2 linked regions of the Lytechinus pictus genome follow. The protein of the gene in region 1 interacts with the protein of each later gene in a biochemical or structural test. Links are inferred from orthologs where the notes say so. Each region holds a gene or a part of one and is shown on either strand. Other genes may lie near its edges.

Region 1 (11,292 bases):
CTACACCTTCCTACGCCTAATGCATAAGAAGGTTTAAAAAAATATTGAATAAAAATACGTAAAAATAAAGGTTTCTTACCAGACCGATGTCGTGTAGATCCTTCGCTCCACATGTACACAGCGCAAATACAATGGCGACGACCCTTGAACCGCTTATGTATGACGTACATGTACGTAGGTAAACACAGAGAGAAATAGTGCGCATGCATAGCTTATTGTGCACGTACAAGATTAGGAGCGCTAAACTCGTCATTATCATAAGAATGTTTGACCTCTGCACGACGTCGGCCGGGAATCTTGTACTAGCACAATAAGCTACGCATGTGCACTATTTCTCTCTGTGTTTACCTACGTACATGTACGTCATACATAAGCGGTTCAAGGGTCGTCGCCATTGTATTTGCGCTGTGTACATGTGGAGCGAAGGATCTACACGACATCGGTCTGGTAAGAAACCTTTATTTTTACGTATTTTTATTCAATATTTTTTTAAACCTTCTTATGCATTAGGCGTAGGAAGGTGTAGAGAATAATAAAATCCTGCTAATTTTCGTGATTTTTAATAAAAAAGATGGATTTCCTGGGGAAATCCATCTGTGTTTACAAGATTCTCTTATGCATGTATGGGAAGGGATTCAAGACTCCATGATGGAGAAGTATATGTCAAATTTGTTTTAAAAGACATCATCATGGAGTCCTCAAGACTAATAATAGCCAATATTTTTATTATTTTTCTTGCTCTTTGAATTGAAAGATACTGCCTTCTTTTTCGAGTATTAGGCTACTATTAATTAAAAATATTTTTCTTATTTCAAGAAAATATCACATTTTCTTTGTGAATTTGAAGAGAAATGACCTTCAGACTGACAGAAATGTAACATTTTTGGAAAAAAAATCAAATTATTGGCTGCAAAATAGAAGAATTAAATTAGGTCAATTTTCAGCATTTCTCTGCCATACTCCCATAGACTGTGTAGTTAAGAAATGGACACACACAATTCCAAATTTTTAGCTTCCGAGAGCTGTTATAAATTTATCATTAATGCTAAAAACTTGTCCATAAAGAGTCCAATAGGATTTTTTATGCTCTTTCTGATGGTATGATTTTTATAAAGATTTGGAAACCAGATCACAATGAAAAATTGCGACAAAGTGAAAAAAAATTGTGCAAAACAGACATTTCATTTTCCCATAGAAAACGCATGGGGAAATGGCAATCTCAACACACACACAAATAAGGGTTTGCAATTTATCTCTAAATCCTTATTTAAAATGATCATATAAACTTGTCCTTACTGTCAAAAGAAGCCCCTGAATTTTCTCTTTCCATACATGCCAAACACAAGTTAATAATCAATTCAGATCACATTTTTCTAGCAGCCTGAATTTCCCGAAAAAATGTGCCATATTTTCCCCTAAATCAGCCTGTTTTATGCTGACACTTTTCAGTGTGGCTTCAGACACCCTAGTATCAACATTTTGTATTTCTCGTAGTCGTACACTAGACAGCTGGCAGCCGTCTGTTTCGAGGAGTTTTTTTAACATTTTAAAATTTTTTTGTTTCTCATACACAGACGGCTCGCTATCGTGCAGCCGCCATTAGGGGGTTAACAATTCAAAATTCCCCCGACGGGGCTCATCGATTTTTGTCTTTATTTCATAAAAATACAAAAAAGAAATGGACTAAAATGAAGGTTATTATTCTGTTTTGGCCTGAAATGCACCAAAACGGGGAAAAATAAACTTAAAAGAAAGAAAAAAAGTGACTTACTTCGGCTGTTGCGCAACTCCCACTCCCTGGTTTATCCCATTTTACACATAACAATATGGCCATTGAGTCCCTGTACACATCGAGTTAGAACTACGGTCTCTGTAATTGGTGAGTGGAGCTAACGGAGTTCAGCGTAACAGCAATATAACAGACCGAAGCTTTTGGTCTACTCGTACACAGACAGCTCGTGATCGTGCAGCCGCCATTAAGGGGTTAACAATGCAAAATACGCTGACGGGGCTTATCGATTTTTGTCATTATTTCATAAAAATTTATAAAAAGAGCTGGACCAAATAATAATTATTATTCCGTTTTGGCCTGAAATGCACCAAAACAGGAAAAAAATTAACTTAACGGGAAAAAAAACAGTGACTTACTTCGGCTGTCGTGCAACTTCCACTTCCCTGGTTTATCTGAACTTAATACTTAAACATATGGCCAATGAGTCCCTGTACAGATCGAGTTAGAACTTTGGGGCTCGTTTCTCAACACCGTCATAAGTCTGGTTATGATATAACCTTGTTCTCTGTTACTCCTCCATCAGTCCATGTGAGGCAAAATAAGGTTGGCAATGTTTCTTAAAGGACAAGTTCACCCCAACAAAAAGTTGATTTGAATAAACAGAGAAAAATCCAACAAGCATAACACTGTAAATTTCATCAAACTCGAATGTAAAATAAGAAAGTTATGACATTTTAAAGTTTCGCTTAATTTCACAAAACAGTTGTATGCACATCCTGGTCGGTATGCAAAATGAGGAGACTGATGACATCATCCACTCACTATTTCTTTTGTATTTTATTATATCAAAATATGAAATATTCTGATTTTCTCCTCAGTGTCAAGTGAAACAACAATTAATTCCTCCCTTAGGAACATGTGGAATTAGCATTATTTAATACTACATGGTTCAGTCAAGTTGGTCCTTATTGTCAAATCTGTGAAAAATGAAATATTGTATAATTCAAACAATAAGAAACAAAGGAAATAGTGAGTGAGGGACACCACCAACTCTCACATTTGCATGCCACTAAGCTGTGCATATCACTGTTTTGTGAAAAATAAACGAAATTTTAAAATACCATAACTTTCTAATTTTACATCCGATTTTGATGAAATTTTCAGCGTTATGCTAGTTTTTTTTTCTATTTATTCAAATCAACATTTTTCCGGGGTGGACTTGACCTTTAAGTAAATTTGATTCTTTTAATTTTCTCTAAATTAAAAATATAGATTGAAAAAGACAATTTTCTTGCCATATTACTTTCCACCAATAGAGGCATACACAAAAATATGCAAAAAATTCAAGTTTTTGAGCACTTTGGTGAATAAAAAAATTATTCCCAAGTTACCAATGAAAAATAAATTGCAACTGTATCAATATTAGTGTTTTTGTTCCCAAAAGTGATATTTAAATGATGTTTTAAAATGTGTGCTGTGTAATGCATTGGCATACCATAGTCCTACATCTACCTGTAGATTCCCCACATGCAGGAAGGTTGCAGTGAGCAAGTGGGCCTAAGTAATGTTAATCTAATTAACCCAGAGAGAGCTAAGCTAAGCCAGAGGCCCGCGCCTTCGCAGGCTGGAGCCCAGAAGGTAACCATGTCAAACAGTAGGCTGCCACAGGTAGCATTCTAAAATGGGTACTGGTACCTTCGAGGTTGGGGTACCAGAAACACCCAAAATTAAAGAAAAAAAGAGAAATCATGCACCCACCTCAATTCTATGGATGACGGTCTAACTGACAGCAGAATACTGAGACCTGACATGGAGGCAGTAGCCAGCACCAGACCCTAAAAAAAGGGGGAAAAGGCCGCGTTCGTTCACTCGCTTTAAAAATTGCAAAAAAAAGTGGCCGATCGATATACCAAGGGCGCATGTGCGAATTTGGCTGAGTCTATTTATTTTTCTTCAAAATCTGTTTTCTTTGCACATACGCCATCGGTAAATCAATTGGCCAGTTTTGTTTGCAATTTTGAAAGCGAGTGAACGAACGCGGCCTTTGCCCCTCTTTTTTGAGGGACTGGCTACTGCCTCGATGTCAGGATTCTGCTGTCGGTTAGGCCTTCATCCATAGAATTGAGGTGGGTGCATGACTTCATTTTTTTCTTTAATTTTTGGGTGTTTTTGCTACCCCAACCTCGAAGGTACCCATGTTAGATGATTGGGTTAGGTCTAACCATGCTAACAGACTATCATTGCAATTGCTCTTTCCCAAATTTTACATTGTTTTTAACACAGCTTTGATGACAATAATTTCCCCCCCCCCCTGACCCACCTCAATAGGGCACTTGTGCACCGGTAATAAACCAGTTCACTAAATCATGCTAAAGTATTAAAGACTCTCATACTCAGATTCATTCCTTGTATCCTACTGAATTGAATTGGAAACATTTAAATTCTCAGTCAGCATGGTCAGGTTTCGTGGCTTCTGCTTTTGCTGTAAATTCCAATATGGACTGAAGTACGCAACCAAAATTATGCAAACGGGTGGGCAGGACTTTTAACTTCAGCCCATATCAAAACTAGCCGTGTAGTATTCAGCGGAGATGAGTGTAGGCATCTGAGAATTTGAACGATGGCATCAAGGTTGAAGCCAAAATAAAGGTGTTCCTGATGCTCGATGTGGTTGAAAATCAGGTTAAGGATCAATACTTGGGAAAAAATTCAGACAAAAATTGCCAGGTGCAAAAGCTGCAGTGGCAGTGTTGTCTGAGTTCCGGGTGGGTCCATGACTCAGAAATTTATTTTTTGCTAAACCTTGCAGTCCGTGTTCAGGCCGGGTTTTCCTTCCGCGCTCCTACGTTATTCAGGAAAGTTGGTGATCATTCCCACTTCACTAAAAACTGACGGTAGTCATAAGTGACCATCTTGATGACATCATCTTCCAACTAGACTCTGTATGATAAGCAAGTAAAGTGGTGATCAATGGTGAGTTAGACGTAAGCCACCTTTACTCATGAGATGATGTTCTATTGTTGTGCCATTTACCAACTTGGGTTTGTCAGCAAATTGTCTTTTATTCAAATCATTATGAAAATTAAATCTGCAAGGTTTATGCAGGTCATTTTGGTTATGTCAAATAAACTCTATTTTTTTTTACTTGGGGGTAAGGGCCTAACTGGTATGTTGCCACCAAGCCTGACCAAATGCTGTGTGAAGCAGATTTGTGATATCGAGTGTTGATTCAAAATGTCATAACTTTCATGTTTCATTTATAATCAATTTTCTGTACACTGCTTGTTTAATGTTCTCTAATTCAAATTAATTTCTTGTTGGGATGGACTTCATGTTAACCTCAAACATTTCTTTTTTTTTTCCTTCTACAGCTAATAGCGACAAAGAATCATGAGATCTGTCTCCATTCAGAAACTTGCCCAATTGCAGAGTGATGTTGACAAGATCAGAAACATTTGTATCTTAGCACATGTTGATCATGGTAAGCCGCATGAATATTAAAGCTGTATGTTCAAAGAAATGCAGTATCATTGACATGCCCAGCTCTGCATTGCAGAGTAAGACTATAGGTGCTGCTTTACCGACGACATTGTCAACATTGAAATCTTGTCCAAGGTTAAGTTTTGAAATGTTGTGATAACTAGTATAATAACAGCTAAGATTTCATGATATCACAAAGTAAAGATTACGTTAAAATACCAGATCTAGATCTATGATAATACTGTGACAATCAACCTTGATTTTAAAGACTTTCTCATGAAAAAAATTGCTTGCTGCAACAACATTCTTTTACCTTTAAACAGAATATTATCAAGCTTGAATACTCTATTCGATTTTTTTTTTCTGTTCAGGTAAAACTACCTTGGCAGATGCTCTCATCTCCAGTAATGGGATCATATCCACCCGTATGGCCGGCAAGCTGAGGTACATGGACAGCCGCGAAGATGAACAGCTACGAGGCATCACCATGAAATCCAGCGCCATCTCCCTTCTCTATAGCAATACTCCAGGTACGATGGAAAAAGTTACATCGGGGCTAGAGGTGATTTCGCCCCCCAAAATGCTGAAAGAGCCCTGGAAAATGAAAAAAAAAAACACTGGAAAGTCCACATTCTCTGAAATGTTAAAGCTTATCCAATGTTGTAGCAGGTTTAGCCAGTAGATTGTGAAAAGAAGGCCCAGAAAATGAAGTTATTCTTTTGCCTGCAGGTTTGTTCCATGCTTGCAAACATTATATCCAGGAGGGCTGTTTCACAAAATATTAAGATTGAGTGTAACTACATAATGGCAGGCAATAAATAGCACTTCTTGCTCTTGCCATTCGATCATTTGGGTGTTTTAAAAATTGTAAAGTGTGGCTTAAATTCGCATTAAAATCCCAAGTTGTGTGTGGCAGAGGTATCACTGCATTGATCAAATCATGTGAAGAGGATGCATACTACTGCGTATTAGTTAATAAGATTGCTTGTTACATATATTTGAAAATTACATTACTTTGCTTTTAGTTTTGCCTATTTGTTTTCCTCACATATGTGCCTCTGTCAGTGAGTCAAGGTAGTCTGCAGGCACAGACTCATATTTGACAGTTTAACTAAAACCATGTCTAGAGTGAAGACTAGACTCCGAAGTCTCTCTCTCTCTCTCTGTGTCAGAGCCAGCCACCGTACATAGTGAATCTAGTCTCGCCACTTCAGACTCTGCATTATGCACTTTGGGAAATTGCAAAAACCAAGGGTCTACAGACTATAGAGTCAAGGGCCCATATTCATAAAACCATGATAGGTCTTTTCACCACCTAATTGTACATCATGGCCAATATTGTTGTAATTTTTAATAGCTTGCTTATTATGGTTTATCTTAGACCATGGTCTAACTCTCTGCTCATATTATGGGAAGCCAAAAGTGTCCAAAGTTGTATGTTTCTTATGCAGGGTAGGAATTAATTTTTTTTTTTAGGGGCTACTTTTTTTTTTACATTGGGGCTACCACTGAATATCTTGGGGCTATTTTCTAATTCATGGGGCTACTTTTTTTATCGCATTATATCAGCAATTACCTTTTGACATTCCGAGACTCAATGTGATGCCTAGAGGCTCAGAACATGTTTATCTGTAATTACTGTAGGCTACAGGCCTTACAATAAACAACAGTGATCCCACCAGAGCAGTGGCGTACCTAGGATTTTTCACAGGGGGGCAAATTCGTCCGCCCAATAATGTGACAAGCAAAAAAAAAGTCTTCAACCACAAATATAGGATTTTGTACCCCCCCCAAAAAAAGTGCATGGGTTGTGACTCGTCAGGGGGGGCAGACTGCCCCCTGCCCCCCCCCCCCCCCGTAGGTACGCTGTCGTCTTCAGCTTCACACACTTCAGATTCCAGCCAATCGAGGCCCCAAGTCCAAGACTTTATTGTCGATTGTCTCTGTACAGTACTGTTTCTTTTTTGGCTTATCCTTCTCAACAGTATCTCGATTTGGAGAGGCTTCTGGCTCTGGCCGTTTGGCAGAGCCAGGTTGAACTCGAATTAGAAACTTATCCATCTCGCACTCCGACTCGACGATGTCGATAATCAGCGCTGTCACAATCACCAGCTGATTGCATACTTCTGTGCATGCCTAGTACACATAATATACCGTACGATGTACGTGGTCTCGTTACCAGCTGTGCAGTCTAATCGTGCACGTGTACATGTACATAAGCCATGCGGCAAGTGCGTCAACAATTCTAAAAACCCCGTGCTAAAGACTATGCGTACTCCGCATCCCATATTGCATTGCGCGTTTATTTACTATCGCGAAGCTTCCGGTGTTACGGAAGGTTCGGATATTGCATCGACCGTTCAACTTAAAGCTGGCAAGGGCGATATAAAAGATGCACTTGTTCCGCCGCCAGAGAACGTAATTATGTGAAGTATTTTTTACATTGTCGATGGTATTTTATTGGGGCGATTCTGAAATAAATAGTCGCCCCAAAGCATTGTGTTTTGAGAATTTTTAGGGGCGATTTGGGCTGTCATGGGGGCAAATTCGCCCGTCGCCCCCGTGTAATTCCGACCCTGTTCTTATGTTTACTGTGCTCTTTCCTGATTCATCGATGGTGAATACAATCATCTATTTATACTTCCTAGACAATTATGAATGATTTTAGGGCCAAATGAGCTGAAATATGTATATATATATCTCTACTGTTAGTGATTTATAATTATGTAACAATTGGCTATCCATGCTTAAACCACAACTTTAAACCTGGGTTTAATTCAAACTCGACTTCAGAATACGGGCCATAGTGTCTTAGAAATCCATATTGCTGTTGTTGTTATTCCATTATCAATGAGGTCAGTGTTGAATTTTCTTATTTCATCCACAGAAGAGGAGTATCTGGTGAATCTGATCGACTCCCCGGGGCATGTGGATTTTTCCAGTGAAGTTTCTACTGCTGTCAGGCTGTGCGAGGGAGCCCTAGTAGTCATCGATGTCGTAGAAGGCGTCTGCCCACAGGTCCGTTTTCTATGTCTCTTTTTTTTAAAGATTGGTGATTCGTAAATGATAATTGGGAGCCTCTTGGCCAGTTGGACCTGTGTATACTCATTTGCAGCTTTGCATAGAATTAAAAAGTAGAGTTTATATTTACAGTGAAACCTGTCTATAGTGGCCACCCATGGGAAGCACACAAATTAGGTGGCTGCTACACACAACTTCTTACAAACACAGTCTGCCTCCATGGGAGTCAGTTTTAGTGTTCATAATAGACAGGTGGCTGCTATAGACAGGTTCTTAAACGCACAATCTGCCTCCATGGGAATCAGATTTGGTGGTCACAATAGACAGGTGGCTGCTATAGACAGGTTCTTATACACACAATCTGCCTTCATGGGATTCAGTTTTAGTGGTCACAATAGACAGGTGGCTGCTATAGACATGTTCTTATACACACAATCTGCCTCCATGGGAATCAGATTTGGTGGTCACAATAGACAGGTGGCTGCTATAGACAGGTTCTTACACGCACAATCCTTCATGGGAGTCAGTTTTAGTGGTCACAATAGACAGGTGGCTGCTATAGACAGGTTCTTATACACACAATCTGCCTCCATGGGAATCAGATTTGGTGGTTACTGTAGGCAGGTGACTGCTATCATGTGGCCGATAACACAGGTTTGACTGCAGTTACCATACGTACACAAAGGTGTCTGATCGCCTGTTTAGGATTTTGAAGATTAGAGATTTTCCAGTTTATTTATTTTAACCTCATGAGCTTAGCATATAGTTGCAGACCACATTATCATTTATTGTTGATCTTTCATTGAATGCTTAATAATAATATATAGCTTGTTGTTTTTTTTAATGTAAATCAAAGAAATCAGAGATTGTGTATACATGTATTCTACTTTAATTATGATTACAAATATTATAATTGTATCTTGTATATTTTTGTAAGTTTAGTTAGTGTTGTTCATTTTGAGGGCCTTTAACACCCACCATATTGGTGGATATATTTTTCTCTTTATAAGCTGTGTTTTTATTGTCCCGCCCACCAAGTATGAAGACAGGACTTAGGGATCCATATCCAGCCCTACCCTACCATCACAAAACTGTCACATGATAAGCAATTTTTATGGGAGTCGCTATGGCAGATATTTCACAGTAAGCTGTTGGTGCAATTCTGCTGTGTGGCAACGGCGACCACAATATTTCTAGTAAATTTTGCAATCGTCGAGATACAATTCACCAATGCCTTGGTATTATCACCCCTTCAGACTCATGTCGTCTTAAGGCAGGCCTGGCTGGAGCACATCAAACCTTGCCTGGTGCTGAACAAGATAGATCGGTTGATCAGTGAGCTCAAGTACACACCGATGGAAGCACATCTTCATCTTCAGCAGGTCCTGGAGCAAGTCAATGCTGTCGTAGGAAACCTCTACGCTTCACATGTCCTGGAGAAAGCTTCAAGCGTAGGTGTTCACTTTGACCATGCCGCTTCTGTAATGGTTTTATTTATAGGCATTATGCCTCTGTACCTGTGCTGCAGTTCTATGCAAGTCAGATTTAGGTCATAAATTGATTCACTCAATTGTGGATTTGAAGTTGATTTGATGGTCTGTTTTTGGTTACCAAAAGGTCGACTTGATTTGCTGGGACCTGTTGCATAGAAGTTACTATTATGGTAACTTTGACATCCAATGGTAACTACCATGGCAACAATGCTAAACAGTCAATCAAACTCAAGGAATCCCTGAAAGTTACCATTGGATAGCACAGTTACCATAAGAGTAACTTTTGTGCAATGTGGTCCTGTAAAAGTAATATTCAATATCAGCCAGTCAGCTACAAATTTGTAATAGATTGCAGATCAGTTTCTTGCAACAATCTCTCTGCTTCTCGGTTTATAGTAACCAGATGCAATTTAGAGCAAATTCTATTTGTTTGGCATATTTGATGATTATGATAACATTTTACATTTTCCTGTTTCAATAGACAAATTTCATTTCACAATAATAGTCTGGTTGTTTTATGATTGTTGTGGTGATTATCAGATTGATTGTAATGTACAAGACAAATATTTTTATATGATATAATAGTGATAATAATATAGGATTTATATAGTGCACGTATCCACCCTTGTTAGATGCTCAAGGCACTCCTATATTATCTCACTCTGCTATCAGGATATACCCCATGTGGCTAAAGAACAATATTTTTGTTCATTAGTGTAATTGAATCTCATTATCCTATAGAAAAGAACAAAGGGTTTATGCTTTTAGTTCTGTAGAAATGATAGCCTTTATTATGTTTAAAATAGAGGAAATGTGATTTAAATTTTTATTGAAATTTAAGATAAGTGGCAGTTGTGGTAACAATCTCAAAGTGAGTTCAAACAGAATCCAACGAAATGACCACCGAAGTGTTTGTATGTATAAGTAAAAAATATGTGCCAAATGGCTATTGGAGAAAATGTGTAATTGCTGAGAAATGAGCATAATAAACTAAAGAATTCCATCAATTGTTGGGTGTTTTTCCAAGCAATGTTAATACACTGTCTCACATAAATGCTTTTCTGTATTAGTGATCACAAGTTTTGTCAGTTTTCACCTAAGATTTCATGATTTCACAAAGATAAGTTTATGTCAATGTACCAGATCTGGACCTTTGATAATAGAGTGACAATCAACCATTATTTTAGAGACTTTATAATGAGATAATTGTTTGCTGTGCAACTACATCATTTTACTTTTACTTTTAATAATGGTCATTTGTCTCTCATGTTTCAGAAAAGTGAAGACCCCATTCAGACTAAAGAAAAAGTGAGTGTTGGGGAGAGTAAGGATGTAGAAGAGCAGGTGTATGATTGGAGCGATGGTTTGGAGGACACCGATGACTCTCATATATATTTCTCACCGGATCAAGGAAATGTCGTCTTTGCAAGTGCATTGGACGGATGGGGTTTCAGGTATGGAGATGATTTGCATTATTAAAGGTCATTTTTCTCTATTTATTCAAATCAACTTTTTGTTGGGGTGGACTTGTCCTTTAAGGCCAGGTTACACCAAAACCAAATTCTC
Region 2 (11,292 bases), on another chromosome or scaffold:
TCCGCGTAAGCGCGTGGCACCCCGCCTCTCGGTTGAGGGCGCCCTGGCACAGGCGAAGGACCGCCTGTCTATTCGGGTAGGACCCATTGACCCCTGGAAATGCACGCGCCGATAGTTGGAGTACCCGGTCGGCCCATTCCGGCAGGGACTCGGTGGGTCCCTGCTTGGCCGCCACAAACTCCAGCTGAGCAGATTCGGAAAGACCTTCCTCCCCGAACCTGTGCTGCAGCCTGACTATCAAGTCTGCATAAAGCATATTGGGCTCTTGATCTAGGACCATTAACAGATAATCTTCTGCCTTCCCTTTCAGGCCCCAGTATAGCTGGCTTACGCGCTCCGCGGCATTCCAATTATGGTGATCAGCAAAGGCGGAGAACTTCCTAAAGAAAGCCCTCCAGTTACCCTTGCCGTCGAAAGTGAGGGACTTTGGCAGCGTGTAATATGGTAACCCACCGCCAGTCCCCCTTCCCGAGGAAGCACTAGAGTTCGCAGGTGACGCAGCCGGGCTACTAGGCGGCGAAGACGAACTGTACTGGGCTGGGCGTGTCATACCCGCCCGCACATTCCTTGCGCTGAAATCTGGGGTAGGGGGTGGGGCCAAGGAGCCCCTTCCTTCACCTACCTTGGACCTCATGGCTACCGCTTGCTTGGTGGTGGGGTCATCGCCCCCAGACCATTCGCTTGAATCGCCACTCGCCTGCATAAATCTATTGACAGAGGCACCATTAGCCTCCTCGCCAACTAGATTCCTGAGCCTAAACCTAGGCTCTACACCACTCCCCATATCTCCCCCTCTGGTGCTTGGGGGCTCATGCCCCCGCTCCTCCCGGAAGTGAGATGAGCTGGTGCCCCAGGACCCACTAGACTGGTTACTTTGACTTGACCTAGGGGGCTGGTGTTGGTCATAGGGGTAAACACCCCTGGAACCTGCCACCCCATTCAGGTCAGACTCGCTACGGGTGCCCGCAGTGATGCGCCCCCTAGGGGTAATAAAAATACTGCCCTCTACCCCCTGGGTGCCCCCCGAAAAGTCTACTCTTTGTGCTAGCTCCCTATTGCTGCATAGCGCTGGGCTGCTTTCGAAAAGCTTGGGGGTTATCTCCCCATGATCAAGTCTAATCCCCTGGATTATCCCTGCTAGAGCTGGACTTAGCCCTAGCAACCTAAACTCCTCAAAGGAGCACACATTAATGGGGATTTTCTCTTCCCCGTCCATGTTGTGCTTACCCTAATTGGTGTTATCCTAGCAAGGTTCAGTTAGGCCCAATACTGAGCCCAACCAAACCCCTGTTGAAATTATCCAAAAGCTATTCTAAAACTAGGTCTCAACCTATCTTATTAAATTCTTTCTTTTATTTCCTTTTGGCAACTAAATTACAAAAAGGTCCAAATGTATACCCCAATCAGCTTATGGTTAGGCACAATAATAAGCCCGACCAAAAACCTACTTAAATTTATCTGAAAGTGGTCCCAATAAATTCTTTTATTTTTTAGCAACTAAAATTATAAAAACCGGTAAAGAGTCCAAAATTATACCTTTAACAGTCAATGGTTAGGCACAGTGATAAGCCCGACCAAAAACCTGCTAAAGTTATCCAAAAAAGCTATCCCAAAAAATTAGGTCCAAATGCCAACCCAATTTATTTTATAACAATTCTTTTATTTTTAGCAACTAAAATTATAAAACCGTATAAGTCCAAAAATATACCTTTAACAGTTAATGGTTAGGCACAGTAATTAGCCCGACCAAAACCTGCCAAAGTTATCCAAAAAAGCTATCCCAAAAAATTAGGTCCAAATGCAGACCCAATTTATGGTATAAACTTCGTTTTATTTTCTTTTTAGCAACTAACAACCGGTAAAGAGTCCAAAATTATACCTTTAACAGTCAATGGTTAGGCACAGCGATAAGCCCGACCAAAAACCTGCTAAAGTTATCCAAAAAAGCTATCCCAAAAAATTAGGTCCAAATGCAAACCCAATTTATGGTATAAAATTCTAGCTTTTATTATTAATTAGATTAGTTTAGTCCGGTTGTGGCTAATAGTTTGCACAAGCACTGCCAAAAAGAATAATTGTAGCTCTAAAAATATTTATATTAACCTCTAACGTTAAGCCTAACTTGTCTTTTATTAATTTACCTAGGCTATTTATTTTATTAATCCTCGAAGCTGGTTCTGTCCTCAATCACGCTAGTGACTAGTGCCCGCTCACACCACAGACAAATTACATGTACTTATTCACATACACAGTCGCCCCACACTCTCTCCAAATTTTTTTTTTTATTTCTTTTATTTATTTGGCAACGGACTCCCCGCTACAACAAGTGGGTGGGTCCACACGCAACACAACACTACACACTGGCACCAAAAACCAACCTATTACGGTATGCAATACACAACCAATGGTCGTGCACAGTTGCACTGGATCTAACGTCAAACCCGGAAATGATCGGGCGGTCTAACTGGTTAGATCTCGATAATTACCGTGAATTCTACCCAGCTTCGAGTACAAAACGTTCCCCCAAAATTTGGACAAAACACCCTAAAACACCACACAAAATTCAAAATATCCGAAATAGGCAGGCAAGAGAGGATTGGGATAATGCCCTACCTTTGTTGGTCAGTCTGGCTTCCCGTCCTACTCGCCCAAATAATCGCCGTTGTTTACCCGTATACGTGCGATGGATTGGTCCGGCCTGACGTCAGTTCGGATCTCAAACTAGACCCAAACGTTGAGCCGACGATGTAAAACAAGATGGCGCCGGTCGGTGGCAGAGAGAACCAATAATATCTCTCCGCCAATAGATCGCCGTGAAATCTTGGATCGGGCCGCGCGCTTTTACCTAGCCGGAACACACACACTCTTACGCACCTCTCACCCCAACAAAAATAGTTCACTCACAAATCACTCGCAAAACGACACAAAAATCATCCAAACACCCAAAATCACAAGCAAATCACACAATCACACCAACGTGAAACACAGTCCACAACTAAAAACGGATATTAAAGCACAAAACTAAAACAAACTCACAACACAACAACACGTGTGTTCTCCCCCCTTTTCTGGAAATTTCCGTCACGGGACCGGAACTACCATCAGTCCCCGCGACGAAAACCTTACCAAAAAAGACAGGGGACGATTGCCTAAATATGTCCCAAATCAAGATTTAACCTCTCAATTCAGGACAATCGCAAACATGAAACAAGGGACAATATTCATAGAATATACGCAATACGACAAGGCTCTGAGTCTGAATCTAGCCTTATCAACTGTAATTAGCCCAATCTAAAACTGATTTCTCGTACTCGAGCGGCGACCATTTCCCCCCACGCAGCGGGGCATAGGGATTTGCTCGTCCGATGCGCAATAGGGGGCCGTTAGCTCGCCGCGAGACAATTATACCCCAATTAATTTCAATAATTTGGCCTAAAATGCCCACAAAAGCAGGCACAGTCAGGCTCGCAGCGCCACTGTAGCGGTCGCGCCCCCAGCTTGACCACTAGGCACTAGGTTGATACCTGAAGCTAGAATATAAGGAATAAGTCACTAACCAGTATTTTCCTGGAGTGATGTCCTAGTTCCTGTCTATTCCGTGTGAGTTCAGCTTCAAATACGATGAGCCAAGGGATCCAACGTCCTCCAGCGTCTAAAAGGGGTCCAGCGCCATCTCCCGGTGGAAGACCTATATGGGGGGTGGGGTGACTTACTACAACAATATCATCACTATCGTCCGATATCAAACGATGTCGCGGACTTGGAAGACAAAATTGCCTTCGTGAAACGGAAAGCGCTGATTTGTCGCCAATCTTCCTATCTCGGAAGAATGGTCCTAGGACGTTCCTACGTATCGCTCATCTTGTCATGGAACAGGCCCCGGCCCAGCGCGACAAAGCGATCGAGGCAGAGCCTCGCCCCGGGACGGCTCAGGGCCAGGCTCCGCAGGCGCAGGCGTAGGCCGTAGCTAAGACTACCGCCCCGGAAAAAAATTTGATCAGCTAATTGAAAATTACCTTCATTGATTCATACTCCTTTGCTAAATCGTCCAGTTCTTCGGCGAATCCTGCTATACAAGAATCAGCCATGATTACCTCTTTTGTGGTAAATTTTAAACAAAAGTGATATCGTTGACGTGGTAATTAATCGATTTCCTACACTGCTACAGACACCTGCCGGCGTTCATCGACTGATGCAATGCCAATATGCCATAGGTCACCTATCACTATATTTATCAGCTGTTATGTCAGCTAGGCATCCAAAATTTCGTAATCACTCGAATATTTTATTCAAAAATTCAGCTAAAGTAATAAAGATTAAAATTGAATTACTTAAAATTGTAATATTTATTTATAATACGAAACTTATCATAGATTTATTATCAAATCATTTTCGAATCGGTAACGCAAATATATCTTGTTGAGCGAGCCTGGCCCATCGATGCATCTCGGTTCATGCATGACGCGCGGCAGTCGAGTCGAGCGTAAAATTACCAAAAATCTGCCCGAGTCTCTCGGCTGTTATGATGACTTGAGGACCGATGAACTGTTCGATGCATGCAGTGAGCGGCGAGAAGACGGATCGACGTTACCAGTTATTGCGCAACACTTGCGGACGACACATAGAGATGTATACTAGTAACATCTCTATGGGACGACATGATTACACTGTACTGGCTCGTTGCACTATACGCCACGGCCACGGTCAGAGTTGAGAACTTGAGTCTTTGCTTGCTACCTCCATTCCCTGCCTTCATTTCAAGTATTTTTCAGCCAGCTCATCTAAAAAGTAAAATTTAGCACAATCTACATGATCTAAATTTAACGTTAGATCTAAGTCAGTAACATAAGTTTGGTCTAACTTTTGTTAGACAAGAAAAATTGTTAATTCAAATTCAATTGACGAAAACAGGACACTTCTTCTGACGCTATGTCTGGAACAATTTTCACTCCAACAAATCAGATCCGGTTAACGAATGTTGCCATCGTTAGAATAAAGAAAACTGGTAAAAGATTTGAGATAGCCTGCTACAAGAACAAGGTCATGTCATGGAGAAATAAAGTGTAAGTTAATTTAATATGATAACAATGGATGGATGTAGTCGATGAGGATAATCATGATGATGACGATGCCTGAATAAAGTTATTCTATTTCTAGATCTATGCCAGTCATGATAATTGAATGATATTGTCTAGTCTTCCCGTTGATGGCCACAATGAAAGTGTTGATTATTATGGCAAGTGTCCTCTCTATAATCATGATAATAATCATGATAATAGTATATGTCTGATATGATATTTGATGAGCTGTTTACTTTTGATATTGATCAATATCAGAATCTCGGATAAAGGTAAAGGTAATGACAGATTAAGTTTGGTGAAGATGTGTAAATATCAATGGTCATCTTAATCATGGTGATATGGTGGTGCCTGAAATTCCCTGAATATAGTATGATGATGACTTGGTTTTTGGTATGATGTTCCTCCAAAATACTCCAAGAACAAAAAAGAATAGTTTTAACTGGAGGTGTGCCGTAGAGCTAGAGTGTGGTCTAGATTTTGTTAATTATTGGGTCTTTAGTGAGGGCATTTTTGAAAGTTGTTGATTGGCTGGTCTACAGTTTCTGGTAGAGTTAGAAGGCCATTCCACTGGTTAATAGTTTGGATGAAGGAAGAATTGGCAAATGAGTCTGAGTTTGTGTGCTGCTGTTGGAATCGTCGGGTGTGTCCTTTTCTGCCTCTTGATGGCTTGGCCTTGATGAAGTTTGATGAAGATGAATCTAACTACATCAAGCCCAAGCCATCTGATCTTGTTTTTTTTTTACTTCAGAATTTTAATTCAGGAGAGAAGGGGATTGTGTCAAGCTGATCATTAATAGTTTAACATTAGAACTCTTAGAATTTTGGCTTTTTTTGCAAGAAAATTGTTTTTTAGTTTGATAATGCACTGTCCTGTCCTAGCATGTAGCTGAAGGCTGAACTTTGTATAATTGATTGTTTATCAATAGTCAAATGATTTATGCAGGAACTTAAGATTATACATCACTATCTAATATGAAATGAGTTTTGAAATGAAGTTTTAAATATTCTTAAAATCTAATGAAATCAATATTTTCTAAATTTCTTTTAAACAGAGAGAAGGACATTGATGAGGTTTTACAAACGCATTCAGTATTTGTGAATGTCTCCAAGGGTCAGGTCGCCAAGAGAGAAGATCTTGTCAAAGCTTTTGGAACAGAAGATACCACAGAGATTTGCAAACAAGTAAGTAATTATGTCTTCATTTGTTTAAAGGATCAGTAAATGGTATTGTATCTGTCTTTTATGTATATTTCTTGCATTTTTCTGTTTTGAAGTCAGAACAGAAGCAGAATACCCTCCACAACATTGTAGATATCCCATGTTTAAAAAAATGCTTAGGCTACATACTGTACATACACATACAATCTGACCAGAAAAACTCTCCTTTTTACAATTAGGACTACTGAAAAGGTCACAATCAAACTTCTAAAAGCTAAAATCTTGGATCATCATATCACATTGTTGTTCAAACATGGTTTATATTTCAATTTCATATCTTTTTCTTCATTTTTTGTCTAGGCCTTTATTTTTGCTCCAATGTTGCGTTCTGACTAATATTACCTGTAAATACTTCAATATTATCTTAAAAGTCACGGTTGTTATCGATGTATTTCCATATCATTTAACTTGTAAGACATTTATCCTACATACTCCTTTTGTCCCCACCTCTTTAGATTTTAGCCAAGGGTGAACTGCAGGTCTCTGACAAAGAGCGTAGCCAGCAGCTTGAGTCCATGTTCCGTGATATTGCAACAATCGTAGCTGAGAAGTGTGTTAACCCCAACACTAAGAGACCGTATACTGTAGGCATGATAGAAAGAGCAATGAAAGATATACATTACTCTGTCAAACCAAACAGGAGTACAAAGCAACAGGTATGTCCCATAGTGTAGCTTTAATTAAACATTGCCACTGCTGACCTGGGGGTGTAACACAAAGCTTAGCGTTTGATCATATGGCTGATGTTGATGCTTGATTACATAGATCCTTATGTGCAATCAAGCGTAAAAGTCAAGTATATGATTGATCACAAAGATTTGGTTTACAGACCCCTGATTACTTTATTTTGTCCACTAAGGCTACATTGGCCTGGTTTGTCTAGCTTGCCTAGTATAGGGTTATCTTCGTTGGTCTAAGTCACTTGATGCCAGCATACCTTGATCAATAATATTGTTTTGTCTCATGATCTAATGGTATGATTGCCCCTCCAACTATTAATTTCCTCCATTTTAATTAATGCACCTTTGGTGTATAACAAGTTTGTCTAACCAGATAGACCAAGTGATTACAAACTAAGAAGGCATTGATGGACATAGCCTATGAACTAGAAATTTAGGAAAGGGCTGACTGGTAATTAGAATAAATAGTTAGGAGACAAGGTGGTCATTGGTGAAATGAATTTAAACCATGGAGGTGAGGTAGAGTAGTGTGAGACAGCGGGTTTATACCAAGTGGGTAATACAGGTTTAAAGGATTTAGAAAATTCAATCAGTTGTATTGGTCAATATGGAAATTTAGCCTAAATGGAAAGCAATCAAAATGGGCTTTGATATGCAATATGAATTTGCTAAATATTCATTTAAGGCACCTCAACAAAATTCTGATCAGCCTTTTTTATACAGGGATTAGGCAAACACCTTTTTATTATTAATCATCACATTCATCTTAGGCAAAACAATGGGGATGCAGAAAAGCCGCTTTGAAAAATGCCTTGTTCCTATTAAGCTAGATTTCTGACAAAGAATGCCTATTAGATCATTGATTGTTCTAAAGAAAGTGGGATTAAACAAATTTCTATTCACCTTTGTAAAGATTATGGGAAGAAAAATTTATAGAAAAATTTATCATCATCTTTGTCATTTTTTCACTGCGAAAGGCTCTGGAGGTCATCAGGAAACTTCGAGAGACTGAGACCATGGCAATAGATCGTGCTCAGATGAGGTTGAGGATTGTTCTACCAGGGAAAGAAGCCAAGAAGGTGAAGAGCAAACTGATCCAACTCATAGCTACAGTTGAAGAGGAACATTTCAGTGATGGTTTAGAAATGGTAAGTCCATAAGTTTAAGTAACTCCCAGAAGTATAGAGCATTATTATGGTCTAAAATATTATCCCTCAAATTAGCAATGATTACTTTTTTCTTCCCATTTCAGGAAAAGACATGTTGAGTGATTGGTGATTAAAATTCAAGGGGTAAATTTCTCAATTACTCAATGTATTAAGTGTTTGCATATTGTCATCATGTTACAAATTTTACAATTTTAGTGATCATTCAAAGTCAGTGTTTCAAATATTTATCAGCAGGAGCTGTACAACATGCTGTTTTGGTGTTGCTGATCATATTTCAGGTGTAATTGCTAGCATGTAAAAACAGAAAATAATAAAGGTGTCAGCACAAAAGGACAGAATGAAATAGACAGACTGTCATCATGTTGCAAAAGAAACTCTTTAAATTTCAAGGAAGAGAAATGTGAACACAGATGTTATGATGGACGCCTACATATATATATATACTGTTCTTTGATATCTAGGGAGTGTTTTGTAAATTTTTCTTCCACTAAAAACATATTTTTGGTTCAAAATTGACAAATTCTAAGTGGCATTTCAGGATTAGACTTTATAATGACATTGATACTGAGTAGAAGAAATAACCAGTTGTCTCACGATGTATCAAACATGGATACTGTTCTTTGATCATAGGTATGCCTAGCTGATCCTGGATGCTACAGAGAGATGGAGGAACTGGTCAAGGAGAGTACCAGAGGGAAGGGGATGGTGGAGGTAGTCAGTCTCAAGGAGGTGGAAGAAGGAGATGAGAGATTAGAATGAAACGTCCTCATCACTCTTAACCCATCGACTATTGAACTCTATCATTTCCATGGACATTGTACATGGCCCACAAGGTTCTAGTCGGCAATGGGTTAATCTGTGGATGAATGCACCAGTTTTTGCTCCGAACTCCAAGTAGGATTTATGGCAGAGTTGTTGTACAACCAGAGATTCTTTCTTGGTATAACCAGAGTTCGATCTTGGGTTTACAATTGAATGTTGTACAACCGACCCAATTTTAGATGGGTCAATGAATATTTGGTTGCATGGATGAGAATGCATTAACCATCTAGATTTCTTATCAAAGGGGATTTTCAGTAAAACCAAAACTTACTTTCATAGGCCCATATTCTGAACTCTGGTTATTTGTTTTAACTATGGGTATTCAAAGGTGACACCAATCGTATAATTAGATGATCAATTTATCATCACATTTTGAAAAGATATCATTGAATATTGTCATCAAAACAGGGGAAGGACCTAATAAACACAAAATGCATAACAGTGAAAACAAATTCTGGAAACTTAAAGCTTCCCATAAGTTTGATTAATTTCCCAGACTTAGAACTTGATTTTAGTTAAACTGTGGTCCAAAATACAGACCTAAAGATTCATTCTTGCATTTGTGAAATGTGATTGCACTATACATTAACTGTGTATTGATATTTAAGGCATTATACTTGTACGCACTGTACCTCGTCACGAGAACGGTTGCTGTAAGTACACAAGATTCTTGGTGTATATACTGAGCCTTGGCAATATGATAATGATTTCATCAAAGATAAGTCTTCCTAGACATGGGTACCAGGTGATGTGAAAGAAATTAGAATGCATACTTTCAATTTATAAACATTTCAGTCATCTGAAGAGAATGACATAATCCTGCAAGGCTAGTTTACTTGTAGATCAAACAAATTTCTGTTGAACATGCTGCAGGGCACTAGGGCTGTGTTTTGTGAATGATTTCAGTCTCACTCTACCAATTTTAGTGCTGGTTCTTTAGTCACTCTATAACCATTTGTAGACTGAAGTTTGGTTTGATATTCAAAGTATGCTGTTTATTCAGACATTTAAGTTGTCATATATAGACAGTTGAGTAGCTGAGGTTGTAACTCACAGAAGATTATAGATTTTAACTCATTTTATTGAAACCTGTTGCTTGCCGGCAGTAAACATGTCAAAAATGCTTGTAAAGATACAAGAATTTGAACGAAAAGATTCGTCTGCAGGAGTTAAAACTTACAAAATTTTGTGAAAAGACAAAACAAAGGATTGGTATACATTCTTTATGCAAAATTCATTTTTTGCCAACAAGTGCCTTTGAAACTGGTTATATTTGCAAATTGTTGAATGTCAAAGAAATGCTTGGTTATTTCACAGTAATATTTGATTATTTCACACATAGAAAGAATGATAAAGTATAACTGTTTCAAGTCTTGTCTGGTTTCTCTTTCTTCTTTAGACTGGCAAGTATACGTAATTTACCCCCTCCCAAGTAAAATATCTCATTTAAATCAAACAGATTTCTGTTGTCCCAAGAGATTTGACTTGGGCAGAGTTGTTTATAGTTGTTTGCAAGAGACATTGATAATTGTCTCTTGTATTCTTTGCACCAATTAGATTACTGTGCAATATTATTTCATATCTTACAACAATGGTGTGTGTTAGATGTTTCCGTTTGTTAATTGTATTTCTTCACTTGTCTAGCTTTTTAGGCAGGTGGAATACACATTGGAAACCTGGTCACAAATTATGTATGAATTTTGTTCCTAATAAATGTTGTTATATGCATGCAGTATGAAAATCAATGTCTAATTAGTATACTAGTAATCTGAATATCAAATAGTCAGGCTCATCTAGCAGTATCTAACTTGTAGTCAGACTATTTATATATGGTATATGAAAAGAAATTGGTTAAATGTTAAAAGAAATACTGGTTGGAGATGAAATAAGAATGAAATAAGATCTTAAAGATATTAGAAAAAGGGCCACAGGCACTTCACTATTAAATTGGTATTATCATTAGACCAAGTGACGGTTTGTGCCATGTTATGGGGTACATGTATAGGCCTATATATCTAATTAAGGATAAAAATGTACAAATAAAACATTTTGACTACTTTTATGACTGTTTGGCAGCTAGTGTTACTGTTGACTCATATTCAGAATGATGGTATACCCGATACATGAGATACCTTGATGATGGTCCCAACCACTTCAACCAGCCGGTTTTTTTTTCTTCGGTTTATTAAAATGCAGTTTGGGAGAGTACTTGGCATGTGTATGTTCAAGACAGAGAAAAAATAGAGGATGAATTGGTGGATGATATCTATTAAGGCCACCGCACACCTTACGACTGTTCGCAATCCGATTTTGGAACAAATC

The links.
Region 2: the proteins of elongation factor-like GTPase 1 (region 1) and ribosome maturation protein SBDS-like interact in a biophysical measurement, tested with the Homo sapiens proteins (2 studies listed by BioGRID and IntAct, with this or other methods). The link is inferred for Lytechinus pictus from reciprocal best matches to the Homo sapiens genes EFL1 and SBDS.

What each region holds. Positions count from the first base shown.
Region 1 is NC_087249.1:8,410,401-8,421,692, reverse strand, and holds the start of elongation factor-like GTPase 1, read left to right. Parts: upstream 1-4,539; 5' UTR 4,540-4,705; intron 4,706-5,103; 5' UTR 5,104-5,122; coding exon 5,123-5,213; intron 5,214-5,583; coding exon 5,584-5,742; intron 5,743-8,099; coding exon 8,100-8,230; intron 8,231-9,489; coding exon 9,490-9,684; intron 9,685-11,001; coding exon 11,002-11,180; intron 11,181-11,292. UniProt on the Homo sapiens protein: GTPase involved in the biogenesis of the 60S ribosomal subunit and translational activation of ribosomes.
Region 2 is NC_087246.1:13,039,542-13,050,833, forward strand, and holds ribosome maturation protein SBDS-like, read left to right. Parts: upstream 1-4,407; 5' UTR 4,408-4,929; coding exon 4,930-5,063; intron 5,064-6,133; coding exon 6,134-6,263; intron 6,264-6,754; coding exon 6,755-6,955; intron 6,956-7,956; coding exon 7,957-8,127; intron 8,128-8,778; coding exon 8,779-8,907; 3' UTR 8,908-11,032; downstream 11,033-11,292. UniProt on the Homo sapiens protein: Required for the assembly of mature ribosomes and ribosome biogenesis.